Cricetulus griseus: one gene and its partner. The protein of the gene in region 2 interacts with the protein of the main gene of each other region in a biochemical or structural test. Links are inferred from orthologs where the notes say so. Each region holds a gene or a part of one and is shown on either strand. Other genes may lie near its edges. The genes, in order: Unc119 and Arl2.

What was found.
Region 1: the proteins of Arl2 (region 2) and Unc119 form a complex in vitro, tested with the Homo sapiens proteins (2 studies listed by BioGRID and IntAct, with this or other methods). The link is inferred for Cricetulus griseus from reciprocal best matches to the Homo sapiens genes ARL2 and UNC119.

What each region holds. Positions count from the first base shown.
Region 1 is NC_048600.1:91,729,371-91,733,798, reverse strand, and holds the start of Unc119 (protein unc-119 homolog A), read right to left. Parts: upstream 3,090-4,428; 5' UTR 2,976-3,089; coding exon 2,756-2,975; intron 1,941-2,755; exon of another isoform or gene 1,817-1,940; coding exon of another isoform or gene 1,810-1,816; intron 1-1,809. UniProt on the Homo sapiens protein: Involved in synaptic functions in photoreceptor cells, the signal transduction in immune cells as a Src family kinase activator, endosome recycling, the uptake of bacteria and endocytosis, protein trafficking in sensory neurons and as lipid-binding chaperone with specificity for a diverse subset of myristoylated proteins.
Region 2 is NC_048596.1:53,197,720-53,202,289, forward strand, and holds the start of Arl2 (ADP-ribosylation factor-like protein 2), read left to right. Parts: upstream 1-1,692; 5' UTR 1,693-1,830; coding exon 1,831-1,895; intron 1,896-4,331; coding exon 4,332-4,442; intron 4,443-4,570. UniProt on the Homo sapiens protein: Small GTP-binding protein which cycles between an inactive GDP-bound and an active GTP-bound form, and the rate of cycling is regulated by guanine nucleotide exchange factors (GEF) and GTPase-activating proteins (GAP).

The DNA of each region.
Region 1 (4,428 bases), on a different chromosome or scaffold from region 2:
CTCTTGCTCCCCGCCCTCCTCCCACATAAGCAGCTTATGCTAGCTCTGCTGACTAAGCTCAGAGCCAGGCTACTGGGGAAGAAGAGGCCAACTTTGCTCAACAGATCCTCTGCTGCTCTCCCAATGGGAGGACATCTTAGCAAACAGAGGGAATCCTTAGAGGTCATTTTTCCAGCCTTGGCCTCGAGCCACCTTCAGGGATAAAGTGCTCTCTGGCCAAGCCAGAAGAGAGTGTGGTTGGAGCAGCAGGATATGAATGAGGCAAGGAGAGTCCTGGGCTCAGAAGGAAACCAGGAAAGCTAGGCATTGCCTAGGGAGTTCATGGTCTGACCCTAACCTCTCTTCAGTTGTTGCTATTCCTAAGCCGGGGGTCTCATGTAGCCTAGGCTAACCCTCAAACCCACTAGGTGGCAGATGCTAGCCTTGAACTCCTGTTCTTCCTGCTTCATACAACTTACTGTTCTCATGGCAGCAATAGCAAGTCCTAGGGGAAGCCCTGGCAAGAAACAGGAAGGAGCAGAAAATGCTAGGGAGGCTTGGGTGCTGTTAAGGTACCACATCCTCCCTGCTGACCTACAGAGGCCGGAAGTCACCCCTGGGCCACCTCCTATTCCTCTTGTGGTTGGAAGAGGAAGTGAATACAAAGTCATTCTCTCTTCCCTAGGGCAGCCCCCTCCAGGAAGCCCTCCTGACAGCCCTCTAGCACCTTGGAGCTTGGCAGAAACTATATAAAATTTTAGAGGGTGCTGAGCTCTGACCTATCCATCACAGCTCAGTAAGGTCTGCCCCACAGCTATAGAAGATGCTGCAGAGGGAAGGGAGGGTGGGCAGAACCTGGAAGCAGGATCCTAGCTGCCCAACTCCCAGGAAAAACCTCCCTTTTTACCCTGTGTCCAGCTTGGGAGCCTCTCCTCTCCCTGGGAACAACTTCTCACACCCAGACCTTAGTCTCTTACACTGAAAACTCAATCTGTCAGCCCCTCTGCCCTAGCAGGGAGTGAGGGTCAGGGGCTGCCTAGGGCTCAGGACACTGCAGCCACTCTCTCCCCTCTGCAAAACAAGAGGCCTAGGACCCAAGGTCAGTCCAGAGTAATGGCTCAGAAGCCAATTGCTCTCCCTGTAGCCACAAATAGCTCCCTAAGCCGGATTCAGGGCCTGGTAATCCAGGAACAGCAAACCTCAGACCTATGTGATTAGGGTCAGAAGATAGCAGGCAAGGTGGAGAGGCCTGGAACCCTGTTTTCAAATCCCACACAGGAAAGGGCTCTCACAAGGCACTTGTCCTTGCTCAACCTCTACAAGCTATGAATTCCCTCCAGACTGGGAGACCCATGCTGTGACTTCACCTGGAGGCTTCCTTCGTTGCAAAATAAGCCTTCAGTTATCCAGGAGTGAGGCAGGTGATCCTGCCCCCCACCCATAGGGCTAAATTGAACTGTATGGGCTGCTGTTACAAAATGCAGCCCACTGGCTTCCACACCAGCCTGGTCCAGGCCCCTCCCCCCTCCACTGATGCCTGCTTGTCCAAGGGAGGTCTAGCCAAGAATCTGCCGCTGCTGCCTAGCTCTGAACGGAGGAGGGAGGCCCCTAGGGACCCAGATGCACAAGCTCAGGCCTGCCATCCTGGTCTCCACAGCTGTCTGGGAGCCCTCAGCTCTGCTGCTCCTGCAGATCCATCCAGGCTTTAGGTTCCACTCTAGCACTTGTGTCCATCCCATAGAAAGGGACTGCTAGCTCACAAAGGGAGCTGGAGCAGGTTGCTGGTGACCCACCCATTCCAAGGCAGTGTGCCACTTTCTCTCCAAATACCTTCCATTCCTCAAGGCTCAGCCAACCTTCTGCCAGAAGACTCTCTAGTCCTGTTCACCATCTGTAGTGACGCCTGCCTCTGCCCTGAATGCTCACTTATCTGCCTGCAGACAGCTGCTCTGAACCAAGTCCTGTGTTGATAAAAAAGCCCTGTTGACATAGCATGCATAGCATGCCAAGCATTGTCGAAAAGCAGGAGACAGGCTTTATTTCACAATAACCTTGAGGGAGGTAACATTGTTCCCATTTTACAGATGAAAAAACATGCCTCTGGAAATGAAATTACATCCCCAAGGTCACACAACCAATTATGGGGCAAAAGTGGGACTCTAGTCCAGGCAGCACAGCTTGGAAACAGCTCCAGTGGAAAATGGGCTTCCATTGATGAGAGAGCCCTGGTTAAAAAAACAAGTACCAGCCAGTCCAGGCTTGGGATCACACACTTGTTTCCATGACACAGCCCACAAGCCAACAGACTGAAGCACCCGATCAGTAACGTTCCTGGGAAGAGTATGGCGCTAGCCCTAATGGGGAAGCAGGGTGAGGGACCCTGGAGGTATTCCTCGACTCCACCTCGCCAGAGGATAGGTGCTTAAGAGACTGCCAGTCCGGCACACTCCTCTGTGACCAGCTTCAAAGAGTCCACAGGGGAAAGGGTTCAGATGCAACTGCTGCCCCACCTCTACCATGGGAAAAGGGGTGGGCCCCTTGAAAAGGAAGGAGGGAGGTGAAAATAAGCCCTACTACATGTAGAGGAGGGGCGCACCAAGACACCAAGGAAAATAACAGAAATCTCAGGCTTGGAGGCAAAGGGAGAGTAAAGGGACACAGAGGAGGGGCACTGCGTGGGGGAAGGGTGAGCGCGGGGGCCGGACTCTGAGCCTCGTGGGCCCCCTCCCGAGCTCTCCCTCCAGCCCGCGGGTGGCGCTCCCTTGCCGGTGCTCACCGCCCGTAATCCGCTGCAGCCCCAGCACGTCGTCCGGCCCGATGGGCTGCTTGCCCTGCAGCGGTCCCACCCTGGGCCCCGGGCCTGGTTCTGGCTCCGACTCGGACCCGGACTCGGATTCTGCCCTAGGCTCCCGCGTGGGTTCCACACTCCGGTTCGAGGCCCCTGGAGCGGGCTCCGCCCCCGTCCCGGTCCCGCCGCCGCCCTTCTTCACCTTCATGGCCTCGCGGGGCGGCGGATCCTCGCCTGCTGCTACCGCGTCTGCTGCCTGAGCTGGCTGGAGTCGGGGGAAGGGGGAAGAGTCCGCCGCCCCACCCCCGGTCGGGCCCCAGGTGCCGTCCCGCCTTGTCCACGCCCATAGCGGGCGCGTCATGCATGCCCCGCCCACCGACTGGCATCTCCCCCCCTCCGCCCCCCCCACCCCCTCCGGTAGAGTCAGGATCCTGGGGTCCTCTTGAACTTCACGGTTCTTTTGGACAATGTAAGGTATACTGAATACCTCTCTTTCTCTCTGGGTTCCAGCCTCAAGGTCTTTCCCTGATAGCTCCATCCTTGAACTGATTCCAGTTCAAGTCTCAACCTCCCACACCCACCCAGTTCTAAAGTACTTCCTCTCAGTTTCCAGCTAACCAGCCTGTTGTTTTTTTTTCTAATGCATTAGGCAAAATTATTTGTATTTGTGCCCTGACCTTTGCTCCTCAAAGGTCAGATCTATGAAAGCAACCATACTCTATACTCTGTTCTCTATAACATCCCAGTGCTAGCACAGTGCTCCTGGCAGCCAGTACCCAGGATTTCCCTTTGTTGAACTGATGAGTTAATATCCCAGGGCTGTCACTGGCTCAAGCTATTCCTCCCTAGAATTCCTGCTCAAAAGCAGAAGCATATATTCACAGCTTTAGGCACCCTACAACATGCAAATATCACAGCCCAGGTGTCTAGCCATTCCCAGACTCCACAGTCAGGTGGGACATGGAAGACCTGTGAGCTCAGGGCAGATCAGACTGCTTCTCACACATGAGTGAAAATAATGATATGTCATATCAACTCATATTCAACCAATGTTTATTAACAACCTAATACATATTTTTAAAGAGCCCAATATACACAACACTTTTATATGCTTATCACATTTAATCCAATGCCCTTCTGAGAGTGACGTCATTAATGCTTTCCGACAGATGAAAACCTGTGGCTCAGTGAGAAGCGCTGCTTATCTAAAGCTCTCCAGTACCTCAGTGCAGCAGGGGTCCAATCCAGGCCTATTGGATTCTAAGTCAGAAGTGTTTCCTCCTATACCACACTGCCTCTCTGAAAGGGTAGAGGGGAACCAGTTCCTAAGCCACTGCCTCCTAGACCAGGCTAGGCTGTACCCAATGGGTGATACCAGTCAGGAAGGAGAGGAAGGAGGGAGAAAGTCTTAGAAGTGGAGAGGAGGGGGCTACAATTTAACCCAAGGATTTCCCCTAAATCGACCCCTCAGTGCCATAGTATGCTGTGCTGACAGGCTGGAAGGACAAGGTGCCACTGCCCAGGGGTAGACAGGCAAAGGCCTTTAAGTTCAAGCCAGTGGGATAGGGAGGGAAGGGAGGATGAGTCCATCGTTGAGCATCATCCTTTGGTTGGTGGAGAGCCAACAGAGAAGAATGAAGACAAACCATCAAACCTCACTT
Region 2 (4,570 bases):
CCAGTGAGTAGGCTCAGCCAGTAAAAGCACTTGCTGGAAAAGTCTGACGATCTGAATTCGCTGCCTGGAATCCACAAGAAGTGAGGAGAGAATCTGCTCCACAAAGTTGTCTTCTAACCTCCCCCCCCCCACAATTTACACACGATAATAATTGTTTTTTGAGACAGTCTTGAAAGAAGTAAAATAGAAAAAATTAATAAAAGCCTAAAACTTGGACTCCAAAGCCCAAATAGAAAACCTCTTACCTCTCTCTGAGTTCCCAAAAAGGCAGCCCGACAGATAAGGCTAAACAAAGAACTGGGTACAGAGGCCTGAGAACAGATAACACCCTCCAACTGTGTCAACATTTCTCTGTCCTAAAGAAGATCCGATAGTTGTCAATTTGTAGTTGTAAAAGTCCCTGCCTAGGAGATAATTAACAAATTTAAACTTACTTCCTCTACAGCATCCTGCTTAATTGCATCCTGCTTAAACATAGTTATTGTTTCATCCTATGTAACCATAAAATTTTGCAATCTCAAGACATTCATTCATTTGAACCTTCCCTTTAAAAAAACACCCTCAGCAAAAAAAGCGGCACTCAGCCTGTTCCCAAACGGGCAGGGTCCGAGTTGCAAATCGTAAAAAAGAAACCTGTGTTTTTACATCGGTGTGTCGCTTCCTCGGTGATGGATTTTTGGGTTTCCACGATCTGGGCATAACAGTTTCACTATATGTCGCCCTGGCTTAGTCGATATGTAGACTAAGCTGGCCTCATCTACTTGCCTCTGACTTCCAGGTGCCGGGATTAAAAGTGTGTCACCAACCACGCGTTGGTGGCGCATGCCTTTAATCCCAACACTCAGGAGGTAGAGGCAGGAGGATCTCTGTGAGATCGAAGCCAGCCTGGTTTACAGAGCGGGTTCCAGGACAGCCAAGGATACACAGAAAAACCCTGTCTCAAGAAACAAAACAAAACAAAAAAGAACTAAGTCTTGGGCAAAGTCATTTACTGAACGACCTAACTGAACACACCTACTACATGCCAGCAGTGGGCTCCAATGTTTGTTAAGACAGGTTCTCTCTACTTAGCACTGGCTGACCTGGAACTTCTTAGGTACTCCAAATTGGCCTTGAACTCAGAGATCGGCCTGTCTCTTCCTCCCTAGTGCTGGGATTAAAGGCCACCACTACCCGGGTCGCCCGAGCTTCTCAACCTGACAGCTTCCCGGCGATCCTTTGTGCAGGTCTGATCGCTGCATTGCGGGAAGCTTGGAGCTTTAAATGACTATGACTATTGTGTGGTCACTGAAACAACCCAAAGGAGCCCTTACTGCCTGTACATTTCGAAACGGCCCCTAGGGGGCATCGTCACCCTCGACTAAACGCACAGAGCCATTTCCGACAGAGTCCCGGACCAGAATCAACCCGTTCTCACTGGCAGATGTGGATAATGCAAGTCACAAAATGAGCGGGAACCGGGCCATTTTACGGCCCCCGGATGATTGTCAGCCGCCTGTGGAACTAGGTTCGGACTCCTGGCTCAGAATCCCTTCGCGAGTTCTCCCTACCTAAACGAGATACAGCCCGAGATGTCAGCCCCGCGTCCCCGATGGAGGCCTTGGAGTCGGAGGGTTTGCTGATTTTTACCCAGGTCCCCTCCGAACCTCAGAAGCGAAGGGTTAAAGCAGCAGGCAGCAAATTCGCCGCCGCTTCGCTAGAGGGCGACGCCACGCACCCCGGTGATCACGTGGTGTCGAGGGCGGAACCAAGCACCAGACTGGCCAATAGGAGCCTGGAGCGGGGTCCCGGGACTGGAAGAAACGGCGGCCGGGAGGGGGCTACGGGATCATGGGGCTTCTGACCATTCTGAAGAAGATGAAGCAGAAAGAGCGAGAGCTGCGGCTGCTCATGCTGTATCCTCAGAGCGCCCCAGCGGCCGCGAGGGTAGCGGGACCCGCCGGGTGGGCGGAGCCGGGCGCGGGGGCGCGGCCGCCGTGGGTCCCCACCGCCGGTGGTGCGTCACTCACGCGGCGCTACCACTGCTCCGCGCGGGGCCGGGGCGGGCCGTACCACTCTGCGGGGCGGGGGGTTGCGTGCTAACGGCGGCGGTGTGGTCCTGAAGGCCGGCCCTGGACCCGGGTCTCCAGTGCCGTAGGAAGGCGCGCCGCGGTGGTGGTGACCCGGACGTCACGGTGTCTCGGGCTGGCTCGAACGTGGGCCCCGCTCCTCCCCAGCGCTGACCCCCTCCCCTTCGTGTAGGCCCTGGCGATTCCTTCAGGGCTGGAATCCCGGGGCGTGAGGACCGCCTAGGCCCCTGAGGGTAGGCGTGGACTTGGTCCCAGGTTAACTGTCACTCAGGGCCCCGGCCGACCTTCCATTGCATTAAGTAGCACCTGCATCGCCCGCCTTGTGTTGTGTCTGGCACCTGAGCATCTGTGATCCTCAAACTGGCAGGGAGAGAAGAGGTAAATTAATGTGCACTTCCAACGTTACCACCCGTGCCAGTTGTAGACAGTTTGAGAAAGACAGTCATTAGATTACTATTTATTGATTACTACTTATTTAGAGAATGCCGTGAAACAGGGAAACGAAAAAGCCTTCCTTGTGGATAATGGAAGAGGAGAAAGAAGTTGTAAAGCAAATAAATAAAATGTGTAGTTTGGGTTGAGAAGAACGTAGTCCGGAGTGGTCAAAGACCGTGCCAAGATAAGAAGTACTGGGCAAAGACTTGAGGAAGGTATTGATGTCTGGGGATGACCTCCAAGTGCAAAGGACCTGGGGGAGGATAAGACTACCATGTTCGAGGGAAGTCAAAGAGTGAAGAGTGACTACAGAGAGGGAGGAGACCTCATGGGCTGGGACCATTTAGGCCACAGGATGGTGGCTTGGAGCAGGATGGAGGAAGGGAGTAGTGGGTAGTAGTGCTGGTAGGACTTGCTGCTACACTGGAGGAAAATGTGAGGGAGAAGGGGAAGCCACGCCGGAATCCCTGGTTTCTGGCCACTTGCTAATACTGGAGAGGAGCAGGTCCTGACTCTGTTTGGGCAGGTGGGTGTTGGAAGGGTTGGGATAATCAGTGGCCGGCTTTCCAAGAGTAAAGTTGGACTGCTGATGAGAGGTAATCTGCTCACCCCCTCTCACAAAAGAGGGTTGTTATGTTTTATTTAAAAGGAGGAAAAGAGAAAGCTGCAAGATGAGACATGTTAACTAGTTTATTATATGGCCCGGCAGACTAAAAGAGAAGAGGAACAGGGGTAATGGCTGACCGCCATGGCCGGTCGCCATAGAGGCAGAGAGAGCTCGTAGGTGGGAGAAGAGAAGAGCAGAGAAGGAGTGAGCAAAGAGAGAGCGGCGTAAAGAGAGAAAGCAGAGAGACAGCGCGAAGCAGGAAAGTTGGAGCTTTTAAAGGGAAGACTGCGAGTGGGCACTGAGGTTCCAGGCATGCCCAGAGTCCTCATGCGTGGCGGGTGACATGGTGATGACTTAGCGCGTTTTCTAGTGCGTGCCCTGACCTTTCAAGGGTCACTGGGCCTGCAGGTGAGCAGGAAGAGGGTCTAAATGCAGAGCTTGCCCCTTCCCTCCCACCCCTCAATTCAGACTGTGGTCACCCCAAGTTCCCACGTGCCGTTGAGCTCACCCAGTGGTTTGTTCTCTGCAGCAGAGGCTGTGGATCATTCTAGAAACAGATGAAGGTGGTTGCCACCTCTAGATACTTGCGCCTTACTTGGTCCCTCAGAGGACTGGGCGCATCTATATTGGGTCTCAAGACCCCACCGAGCCTTATCTGATGCCTAAGTTGAAAGCCATTCCTTTCAGGAATGTCTCACAGGTTTCAGGGATCCCAGATACCCAACTTTGTCTGCTTTATTTAGTCTTTAATTTTTTTTCTTACACTTTATATGTGTAAGTATTTTACCTGTATATATGTATGTGTACTATGTTGAGCACCCGGTGCCCATAGCGGTCAGGGTTTGGTTGTGAACCACCATGTGGGTGGGTGTTGGGAACTGAACTCAAGTCCTCTGCAAGACCTGATGAGCCACCTCTCCAGCCCCATTATTTAGGTTTTTTGTTTTTTTGTTTTTTGTTTTTTTGCTAGTGTTTAAGTGTCATAAGGGTGAAGACTTTGTCCACCAACACCTGAGGAGGCCTGGCACATAATAGGCACTTAATATTTGTTGCTAACCAAAGTTACTTTAAGTTGGCCGAGATGATAATTACCTCAAACCACTTATGGGTCAGGCATGTGCTCCACTTGTTTCAATATACAGTAGTCCCTAAGAGTTTGGTAGTATGATGACATGTCCTCCAGCAGAGCTCAGAGACTTCTCCTTAGCTCTGTGTCCCAGTGGCTTGGACAATGCTGGCAAAACCACCATCCTCAAGAAGTTCAATGGGGAAGACGTGGACACCATCTCCCCAACACTGGGCTTCAACATCAAAACCCTGGAGCACCGGGGGTGAGTAGTGTCACTGAGGGGGAGCCACTGAGGGCCACTGTGTGGGGGCCAGGGGTGAGTAGGACCACTGAGGGCCACTGTGAGCACCGGGGGTGAGTAGGGCCACTGGGGGGGGGGGGGGGAAGGCA